3 linked regions of the Canis lupus familiaris genome follow. The protein of the gene in region 1 binds, or shares a complex with, the protein of each later gene. Links are inferred from orthologs where the notes say so. Each region holds a gene or a part of one and is shown in the gene's direction. Other genes may lie near its edges.

Evidence for each region.
Region 2: NUP205 (region 1) and CETN2 share a complex: the UniProt entries of both Homo sapiens proteins name them as parts of the nuclear pore complex. The link is inferred for Canis lupus familiaris from reciprocal best matches to the Homo sapiens genes NUP205 and CETN2.
Region 3: NUP205 (region 1) and CETN3 share a complex: the UniProt entries of both Homo sapiens proteins name them as parts of the nuclear pore complex. The link is inferred for Canis lupus familiaris from reciprocal best matches to the Homo sapiens genes NUP205 and CETN3.

The regions. Positions count from the first base shown.
Region 1 is NC_049237.1:12,346,128-12,349,879, reverse strand, and holds the start of NUP205 (nuclear pore complex protein Nup205), read left to right. Parts: upstream 1-1,032; 5' UTR 1,033-1,161; coding exon 1,162-1,189; intron 1,190-3,752. UniProt on the Homo sapiens protein: Plays a role in the nuclear pore complex (NPC) assembly and/or maintenance. May anchor NUP62 and other nucleoporins, but not NUP153 and TPR, to the NPC.
Region 2 is NC_049260.1:122,024,018-122,027,769, reverse strand, and holds the start of CETN2 (centrin-2), read left to right. Parts: upstream 1-1,155; 5' UTR 1,156-1,195; coding exon 1,196-1,294; intron 1,295-2,211; coding exon 2,212-2,370; intron 2,371-2,681; coding exon 2,682-2,810; intron 2,811-3,752. UniProt on the Homo sapiens protein: Plays a fundamental role in microtubule organizing center structure and function. Required for centriole duplication and correct spindle formation. Has a role in regulating cytokinesis and genome stability via cooperation with CALM1 and CCP110.
Region 3 is NC_049224.1:18,666,071-18,669,722, forward strand, and holds part of CETN3 (centrin-3), read left to right. Parts: intron 1-1,295; coding exon 1,296-1,410; intron 1,411-3,652. UniProt on the Homo sapiens protein: Plays a fundamental role in microtubule-organizing center structure and function. As a component of the TREX-2 complex, involved in the export of mRNAs to the cytoplasm through the nuclear pores.

The DNA.
Region 1 (3,752 bases):
AATAGGGTTGTTTTGAGGATTAAATGAGATATAATAATAATCAGTACATTATCCTATAATGTGAAATTGGTAATAAACATCTGGCATAGAATAATAAATGGTAATGACTATATTTTAGTTGGAAAATTTGCAAACTAAAATTCAGTAACTAAAAAAAAGAAGATCCAGTTATTTGGGGTCCCAGGGTGGCTCAGTCAGTGAAGTGTATGTATGCCTTTGGCTGGGATCATGATCTTGGGGTCCTGAGATCCAGCCCCAGGTCTGGTCCTTGTTCAGTGGGGAGTCTGCTTCCCCTTCTCCTCTGCTCCCACCATCTGCTCATTTTCTTTCACTCTTTCAAATAAATAATGTTAAAAAAGAAAAAGATCCAGCTACTTGAGGGTGCTTAGGTAGAAAAATATTTGGTATTTATGAGATCTGTCTGGAAAGGTCTTCAAAATAATCTTCCCTGTTAGGGGTGGAGTAAAGGCCGCGAATTGAACTTTGGGTGTTCATTATTCTACTTTTGTATACATTTGACAAATGTAACAAAAGTCATGATTTGTTTCACTTAGATTTGTTTCAACCTATGCAACAATGTTGATGCAATACACTTGCCATATTGAAATGTAATGAAAACTTAGTTTGTAACTGATTAAATAGCTTTTTGAGATTTGTATACCTTACACCTCACTCCACTCCTCAGAGAGAAATGCAAGGAAGGTGTAACTTGATATGGAGATAATGACCTGAGTTTACGGCTTTTATATCGTAAATAGGCGTAATTTTCTTTTTTTTTAATAGGCGTAATTTTCAATAATCAGTCTCATCTTTCTGTTGATGTCGTCACTCATCATTGGGGAAAAAAACTACAAGGACCAGAATCCACTACACGACTGACGTCACATCGAGGCCCTCCGGTCTCCGAACCGGTTGCCCTCGCCTAATTTGAATGAGCCGATCGCGGCGAAAATTGGCGCCTGTGACGTACAGCAGCTTTTTTTTTTTTTCTTCGTCTTCTTCTTCTACAGCCGCCTTTCAAGGCTTCTTCCGCCTCTGAGTGTGTGGAGAGTGCCACTCCGAGACAGGGTGTTACCTTTCTGCTCAGGCATCGCGTCGGGCAGCCTCGCCCTTTCCTGGGGCTTCCGTGCGGCAGGAGGGCTCCGTTAGGGCGCCTCCAAGATGGCGACGCTGTTGGCGGTAAATTCGGGTAAGGGCGGCCGCGGCAGAAGGGGGAACTTGCTGGGCAGGACGAAGGTTGGTCCTTTAGTGCGAGGTGCCGTGAGGTTCCTCGCAATGCAGGCCCTCGCTTGTGGGTATGGTGCTTGCTTTGGCCTAGCTCTGGGCCTAGAGTCCCAGCCCTCCCCGGTTTGAATGGCGCGCCTCGGTGCTGCCGCCCCAGCCCTCACGGTGGGGTTTCAGGAGGGAGGCAGGGGGGTTTGGTCCAGCGGCCCCCCCCCCCATCTCCCCGCAGTGAGGCCGGAGGACCTGAGAACGCGCACTTCCGAGTAGGCGGATCCGACACGGTAGTGAGAGGGGGCCTGGAAGTCGGGGTGCATCCTGCCGGGAGGGGGGTGTCTCAGCCTTGGGCGGTGCCGCCCCTGAGGCTTTGGGAGGAGTGGGTGCGTTTGCGGCGTCCAGACTCTCGGCGCCTCATGGGCGGGGCGAGGATGCCTTCAGCCCTGCACGCGGCGGAGCTGGGCTTAAAAACACAATCCCCCCTCCCTCCCCCAAACAAAACAAAACGCAGTTTCCAGCTCAGTGACATACAGTTAGCTTTTTGGATTCAGTTTTAGCAGCGTGTCTATGACATACTGGTAGAGAATGTCATTCAAGAGTAATATTTCCTGTCCCCCGCCCCCCCCCCGCAGTGTTTTGGGGTTTTTTGGGGCGAGGGTGGGGTTGGGGGAGGGGTGCGAGTGCTTGGTTCTACTTGCCATAGGACTGGTATTACTGTAAAGTCGAAATCTGAATTCTGCAAATCTAGCCATTTCAGTGACTCTGTCCTACCTTTAAAAAAAAAAAAAAAAATGATAAAAGATTATGTTTATCGAGCCTCTGATATGTCCCCAGGCATTGGACTGTTGCACTTGCATGATTTCATCTAATCCCCTTTGCACACCTACGGAGAAGCTGCTATTAAGTACCCCAGTCTACAGACTGGTGAAAAAAGACTTGGGGGTAGTTAAGTAACATCACTGAGGGTTATAGGGTAATAATGGTCGTAAGCCAGACTCAGGTGTTTAAACTACTTAAAGCACAAGCTAATTCATTTTATTACATCAGATTTTCATATATATATGAATGCGGGTCATGAAGTTATGTTCTTTTTTTTTTTTAAGATTTTTATTTATTTATTCATGAGAAACAGAGAGAGGGAGAGAGGCAGAGACACAGGCAGAGGGAGAAGCAGGCTCCATGCAGGGAGCCCGATGCGGAACTCGATCCCGGGTCTCCAGGATCAGGCCCCGGGCTGAAGGCAGGTGCTCAACCGCTGAGCCACCCGGGCTGCCCATGAAGTTATACTCTTACTACGGCTGTCCCAATCTCCCTACCCAGATATAATCTTAAAAACAAGGCTTGCATGTTACACGTGTGGTTAAATACTATTCTTTAGTACATACCAAGTTACTGTCATTAAACATAAATCATTGGAGGAAAGAGGAAAAGGAGTTACCAACAATTGCAAAGAGTGTATACATTGTATAATGCCTTGTGACAGGAGTGTGTAATCGACAACACGGAAAGGAATCATTTTTCACAGCCAGGAGTCAGGAGAATATATGTATATTTAATTAAACATCCTAGGGTAGCAGCCTGAATGTCCATAAGTGGATGAGTGTATAAACAAAATGTAGTGTATACGGACTACGAGATGTTTGTCCTTAAAAAGGGAATCCTGTCACATGCTACAACATAGATAAACCTTAAGAACATTGTATTAAGTGAAGTAAGCCGGCCAAAAAACCAAAAAAGGATAAATACTGTGTGGTTCCACTTATGTTTGATACCTAAGGTAGTCAGATTCCTAGAAACAGAATGTTGGCTGCCAGAGGGAAGGGAGAAATGGGGAGTTGTTTAATGGGTTACAGAGTTTCTTTTGTGCAAGATAAAAAATTCTGAACGTTTGTAGTACAACAGTGTGATGCCCTTGGCTACTGAACTCTACCCTTGAAGATGTTTAAGATAGCAAATTCTGTTAGTTCTTTTTTCCTACTTCCCCCCCCCCCCCAAAAAAAAAAAAGCCAAATATCTTATCGTAGACAGGGAAAAAATAGAGGTTGTAGGGTCTAAGACCTATGCTTGAGATTCAGCGGCATGATTTATTGGTGTTGTGACCTGTTGTCATCCCAGATGAGCAGACATACAGACTTGTTGATAAGCAGCCATTGATTGACACAGGCCTTCTGTGGCCATCTGGTCACCCCTGTCCTGTTCACGGCAGTGACTATCTCAGACTTTTCCACATTCCTCAAATCTTGTCTTCCAGCTGATCCCTCAGCCTCCTAGTCACAGAGAAAATAGAAGCCTGTAGGCATGCACTCTCTTTTTTTTTTTCCACCCTCAAACCTACAAACCTGGATCTATATCTATACTCGTTTTCACCGGTTTCCCTTTGTCTGAGTTAAATCCCACCTCTTATGCCCTTCTCCCTACTACCTTTTCTCTCTCGGATATTCACATCTCTTCTTGCTCCCTTTCTTTCCACTAGCCTCTTCTTTGGATCTTGATCTCATGCCTTGTTCCAGTTACTATCCTCTTGCTCCTCTTCA
Region 2 (3,752 bases), on another chromosome or scaffold:
TCAAAGGGATACATGCACACTGATGTTTGTAGCAGCATTGTTCATGATAGCTAAGATATGCAAGCAGCCCAAGTGTCCATCAACAGATGAGTGGATAAAGGAGATGTGGGGTGTGTGTGTATGTGTGTGCGTGTGTGGGGAATACCATCCAGCCATAAAAAATGAAACCTTGCCATTTGCATTGACATGGATGGGGCTAGAGAATATTATGGCAAGTGAAATGTCAGAGAAAGACAAATACCATATGATTTCATTCATATGTAGAATTTAAGAAACAAAATAAATGAACATGGGGGGGGGGGTGAAGAGAGGCCAACCAAGAAACAGACTCTTAACTACAGAGAACACACTGATGGTGACCAGAGGGGAGGTGGGGGGGGGAATACGTTACATTGGTGATGGGAAATAAAGACTGCACTTATCATGATTAAAGAAAACAAAAGAAATTTAACAGAGTTTTATAAAAGAACAGTCTCCAGGCACCCCTCACACTTTCAAAACTCTTGTGTGACTTTGCTCAGTGTCTCCGCCCGAGTGGGTGTCAAAAAGTACATTTTGATGACCTCTCCCCTCATGCTCAGTCATATCTGTTTCACTCCCTCAAAACTCCCCCTCAAAGGGAGAGCCTCAGCGGGATTCGGTTTCTAAGTCGCAGCTGTCCACACCTCCTCGACACTCCCATTCCCTTCTCTGGCTCTGCTGTCCCTTGAGCACAGTCTCTGCTCTGACCCTCAAGGTCACGGTCTTCTCTGGCCCCTCTTTCCAAATTCAGTCTTAAGCCAGACCAGAAAGCCCCCAACCGGAAGGCCCCACCCAGCCCCCTACCCTCCCACCCAGTAGCGGATAGAAGGCAGCCTCCGAGGGTGAGGTCGTGACCCTTACCCGTCCGTAGGCGACCCCCCGGCCAGCCTCCGCGCGCCCTCAGCTTGCACCCAAAGGCCTCGGGCCGCTGGCGGTCACCCTTTTCTCCCCACCAGCATGAGCCGAGGATCGGCCGAGATGCCTCCGCCAAGGGGATTGGCTCAGCTCGGCGCCGGCTCAGCCAATCGGCGCTCACAATGTGATCCTGTCCAATGAGGCCAGGCCTCGGCTGTGAAAGCACAGCCCCCTTGCCCTGGGCCTGGCCTTTGTCCGCTTAGCCCCACCCACCACGGCTCCCCGCCAATGGGGAGCAGCGGCGGCGAGCGGGCTGCCAATGGGGAGCGGAGCCGCGCGCGCGGGGCGGTGGGAAAGGCGCCGAGTCAGTGTGTACGTCGGTTGCCGTAACAACGGTCCGCGGAGTCCATCGGCAATGGTGAGTGGGGGCCGCCCTTTGGTGCCCCGCGGCCAGGGGCTGAGCCCTTCTCAGGCTTCGTGTGGCCCTGCCGTCGCTCCCGCGCCGCTCTCGGCTTTGGAGTGCCCCTACTTCCTCTCGGCTAGTTCCCGGAAGGGTAGGGTAGAGACGTCGGCCGCCACCTGGGCCTGCGGTCCTGCGCCGCCTCCCCTTCGTTCAGTCTGCGCCCACCCATCCCTCGGGCGCGCGTGGCCTTCCCCTGCCAGCCCCCGCGTGACTGCCCCTGGTCAAAGAATACTCGGGTTACCCGCAGGCTCTGACCTCTCAGACCCTGACCTCCTGGTCGCTTCGTGCTACCAAAGTTTACCCACAGACCTGGGAGGAGGTTTATTATGTTTGATTGTTAACGTGCATTCTGAATAAATACAGGGATCTTTCGGGAGACGTTTTGATCTAATTAAAGTAGGCACAGACCTGCCTAGTGGATGGAATTTTATTATACACCTTAGCAAAGTAGTAATATTGGGCCAAATGTAGAAGTAATCACAAAGTTGGAGTACAGAGAGGAGGAATACTGCGAGCCAATGTTGTAAGGGCTTTTCTTGAATTAGGATCGCCAAATTCAAGGACAGCTGATCATCTGTACAGTTATCCACAGTCAGCTCCTTGGCTGGATCTCTTTGGGGATGATTTTCAATAAGAGATGTGCAAAGGAACACGGGATCTCCTTGCTTCTACAAAGAATAGGAAAAAAGAAGGAGGGATAGCGGTGCACGGAAAGATTGTTGTTTCAAGTAAAGCCCTGTTATCTCTCCTATTAAGCAAAGCTGTGGAATTGCTTGGTGTAAATATTTTATGTAAATATTTGTAACTATTTTATGTAAAATATGGATTGCATCACTTAATATCGTACTTCTGTGTTTGTAAAACACCTAAAGGCCTCTAACTTTAAGAAGGCAAGCATGGCATCATCTGCCCAACGAAAAAGGATGAGTCCTAAGCCGGAGCTGACTGAAGAGCAGAAACAGGAAATCCGGGAAGCTTTTGATCTCTTTGATGCTGATGGAACTGGGACCATAGACGTAAAGGAACTTAAGGCAAGCCCTTTACATTCCCACTGTACTGCCTTCCTTTCCTCTACTTCTTTCTCTTCTTTCCTTGTCACTGCTCTACCCCTTTTGCCCTCTTTTCCCTGCAAAAAGTTTTCCTGTTTTTCTCTTCTCCTGTCTTTATTTACCTCAAGTGTTATAAAATAAAATTGAGCACAAATATCAATCTGCATAACGCTATAGTGTTTCCCAGTCATTTTAACATGATTGTGTCAGATGCTGGCCTCATGCTCTCACTGTCATTTTTGTTCCTGCCAGGTTTTGATGTGCATATTGACATGATCCTGTTTTCATTGTAGGTGGCAATGAGGGCACTGGGCTTTGAACCCAAAAAAGAAGAGATCAAAAAAATGATAAGTGAAATCGATAAGGAAGGGACAGGAAAAATGAACTTTAGTGACTTCTTGACTGTGATGACTCAGAAAATGGTAAGTTACTAGGATAATCAGCCTATTTTCCACCCATATTGGTGAACAAATTTGAATCTAGATATAAAAATGTCTTCACTGAAGAAAGGTTAATACCAACTGGAGGGTTCTGCTGAAAAAGGGCAGTACTTATGACTGACAGGATGCTTAGGTTCTATCTGGCTCTCTTCAAGGCCACAGAATCACAGGAAAAGTCAGTTTACCCTTTGAGTAAGAGAACTGCTGTCACTCTTTTGTGATTATTTTTTTCCAACTGATGTGTTAACGTGCTGACCACAAGCAGTAAAACCTGTAAACACCAGCAATATTGCACTGCCTGACAATATGAAATGCCTATACTTTAAAGGTCAAAATTCTTTTCTCTCTCGTTTCTGATTCTGGGCGGCTCTAGCCTGAGGGCGGGTGACTTCTGACAGCTGTGTTTTCCACTACACTGGGAATTTGGCCTTTCAGCACTTTCATTTTTTTTCTTTTTTTCTGATTTTATTTTTTATTTTTTTATTTTTATTTTTTGGAGTTCGATTTGCCAACATATAGTATAACACCCAGTGCTCATCCCGCCAAGTGCCCCTCTCAGTGCCCATCACCCAGTCACCCCAACCCCCCGCCTACCGCCCCTTCCACTACCCCTGTTCATTTCCCAGAATTAGGTGTCTCTCATGTTTTGTCACCCTCACTGATATTTTCACTCATTTTCTCTCCTTTCCCTTTATTCCCTTTTGTTAACTTTTATATTCCCCAAGTGAATGAGACCATATAATGTTTGTCCTTTTCCAATTGACTTACTTCACTCAGCATAATACCCTCCAGTTCCATCCATGTTGAAGCAAATAGTGGGTATTTGTCGTTTCTAACGGCTGAGGAATATTCCATTGTATACATAGACCACATCTTGTCTATCCATCCATCTTTCGATGGATACCGAGGCTCCTTCCACAGTTT
Region 3 (3,652 bases), on another chromosome or scaffold:
ATTCTGTACATACTTTCTCTAGTGCAAACAATATAAGTGATGTCTGATGTCAACGCAGTGCTAATGGGGGAAAATGTCAACTTTAGGGCCTAGAATTATTTATAAAGATGTGAGGGAAAATTAAAGTTTAGGGTAGTACAGATCTCACACTCAGCATGAGAAAGGCGACATTTTGGTAGCTCCATTTTTTTTTTTTTTTTTAATTTTATTTATTTTTTCATGAGAGACACAGAGAGAGAGAGACAGGCACAGGGAGAGAAGCAGGCTCCATGCAGGGAGCCCGACTGAGACTCGATCCCAGGTTCTCAGGATCACGCCCTGGGCTGAAGATGGTGCTAAACTGCTGAGACACCCGGGCTGCCCTGTCTCTTCCATTTGTTACCATTGTTATTATCTTGGTTTGGGATCTTACTTCATACCTGGATCTTCTTAAATGTTTTCTCCATTTCTGGTTTGCTCTGTATACTACCATTAGATTCACCTTTCTAAGACTCTTTCCTCCTATTATTCATTGTTCGTAAACCTTTAGTGGCTCCTCATTGTACACTGCATAAAGTTCAGATTCCTTTTATTTTTATTGAATACTCCCCACACTTTTACTACTACCTACTTTTCTCATTGCTAAGGACTTGTTTCCACCTGAGCTCTTCCGGTTCAGGTATGGTAAGCTGCTCTGTTCACTGTCCTTAAGCCTATATATTATGGTATCTGTTTTAATGCCAGTCATCCTTTTCTCAGTGCTCTTCTACTTTATTTCATCCATATATCAGGGAACAAATGGAACCTTTCCGAGTAAGATTTCTTTAATCAGTATCCTGTCTCTCCTTTTTGTTAATAGTAACAAGATCTTTTCTTTCTTTAAACTCAGGGCCTGGACTATTTACTTAATAACTAATCATGTAGAGTCTCATGATAACTCTTACTTTAATTTTTTTATCTCTTCTGTTGTATACATTTTTAATATTTATGCTATACTTTTTTTCATTTTGGTAATCATTTGAGAACAAATAATTTGTTAAAATGATTTGTACAGTAAGTCAGTCTTGTATGGTGTATTTTATAAACATTTGATTGGTTTGTCATATAAAAAAGGATATGTAAATGAAAAAGTTGCTATTTCAGTAGTGGAGAAAAGCTATCACTTTGATTTTTTAAGAGACATAAAACTTGCAAAAGATTTAAATGTTTTATTAATGTGCTGACATCTCTTAAGTTGTAAAAACTTATTTAAGAATTGGAAGTCACTTCTTTTGAAAGAGTGCTTTATAATTTGCTTTTCCCTTTTAATCCAAAAGGTGGCAATGAGAGCCTTGGGGTTTGATGTAAAAAAAGCTGATGTACTGAAGATTCTTAAAGATTATGACAGAGAAGCCACAGGGAAAATCACCTTTGAAGATTTTAATGAAGTTGGTGTGTATTTTAATAGTCTTTGTAATTAGCACTTGTTAGGAAATTATCTGGTTAATATTAGTTTTTTTTTAATTCTCTGGGTTATGGAATTTTGTTATTGAACATTGCTGTATAATGTAGATATTATTATAGGGATTTGGGGGCACTCTTCTTACTTATTTTCAAAGAAAAAAATAAGATTTACAGCTTCACTATGGGATTTATCATTTTGTCTTTTGTTCTGAAGATTCTAATTAAGGAACTATTATGTAGCTTTTTGTGGAATGATGTCTTCCTAAGTTTATATCATGTGATAAAACTAAAAAGGTGATCAAAAAATTATTTTCTTAGACTAAAACAGAAAATTTGGTATCCTTTTGTTTGGAAAATATTTCCTAAGACCATTCTGGTGTGTGATTTTTGTTGGCAGAGTGGGAGAAGAGAAAACCTATAGCATTTGGTATCTTTGGCTGAAGATGAAGTGCATGCCTTCAGGTTGACAAAGCTTATAAGGGGCTGCATATTCTGTATGACTTGATCTCAGTGAATAAAGTCATCTGTTTAAAGTTGAGAATGGGGAGAGGATTGTAATAAAGGCATTTGGCAAACTCAAGCAGGAGAAAACATTTTAGAATAACCAACTAAGCATAATGTGTCATGAGCTTAATATGATTGAATTTTTATATAGTTGATTTTAGTGAATTAGTTATAGCATATATCAAGCTTTTTTAGAATAGAAGATTCTGGAAAGCAAGGCCTTTGTTATTATGATTTAAATATATTGCATAGAATATTATACATAGAATGTGCATCTATTCAGAGTTTAATTTTCTAAAGCAGTAATACTTAATATGGGTCATGATATAAGCATATAGTTATTTTAAGATATTTTAAAAATTTAGAAACAAATCCAGTTACAAACCTTTTGTGTAAATATTCAGCATGAATATTGTACTGCATGAAGCAGTACAGAAAGCAAAAACAAATGGGAGTTTGGAAAAGATAGATTCATATCATTAAATCATTGGTTTTATTTTTTTAATTTGAAAACTCAAAACCAAGGTGAGGAAGAGGAAAATTAAAGGATAAACCTAAAAGAGAAAGGAAGAACAACACAGAATATCCCCACTTTATAAATTAAGAAATAACTGTTTAGAAAGGCAGCTCATCTCTTGGGGAGCATATTGTTGTTATTGTTGTTGTTTTTCCTAATCTGTAGACTTATTTACTTGAGAAGGGGGAGGGAACCATCTTTATTCTTTTAGTCTTTCATTATTGAAGTTCTTCTACAGTTAGTGATCTTAGTCCAAGTTCCAACTTAGATTGTTAATTTATAGAAACAGGTATTAGGATATAGTGGCAATGATACTATTAGGAAAGAGCTACAGTTCAGGCACATTTGATACAATGTAGTGGTTTATCATGGACATTTTAGAACCAAATTGCCTGGGTTCAGATATTGGTTTTTGTATGACTTGGTCATTTTTCTTGTCTCTGACTCATTTGCAGCTATATATAGTGGGATAGTTGTAGTATCTTGTGATTTTTGGGAGGAATAAATAAGTTAATACATAAAATATGTCAAATGTTTATTAGAAGGGGTCCTAGCTATAATAGTAAGTACTATTTAGTATTTGTTATTATTACTTTAAAAAATTGTCTTTGTTTCACTTTGCTTTAGTACCCGGAAATAATTGTGTATGTATCCACTTGAACATAAAAAGTCTTGTATTCATGTTTTTCTGATTACATTTTTTTCATAGTTGCAGGCTATTTTAGGCATTGTATCATCGTCATTAATGATTTTATGCAACATATTATAACATCTTAAGTAAATACAGTTTTAAAATGTGATTTTATTAGCAGTTGAAGTCAGAGTCCCATGCCATCTTCACCCTTTCCTTACCCTTCATTTTTCTATGTTATTATTGGAGCCGCTGATACTGGGTTCTTTCCAGAATAAATGACCATGGCTAAACATCTGCTCTGACTTTGAAAGATAGAACTTTTGACCAACTTAGCACATACTTTAGCTATCTTAAAGGCTACCTATTGAAAATACCAGTAGTCAAATAAAAATTTATTACTGTTTAGAAATCAAACAGCCAAGAACTGTATATTTTCTCCATTTGTTAATTACTTTTCAATGATAACTGACCACAAATGAGTGTCTATTTTATACTTTGGAACAAGTAACTCTGAACCAGAACATTTGATTCTGGTTAATACATAATTTTATGTATTATCTATTACTATTGAAGGA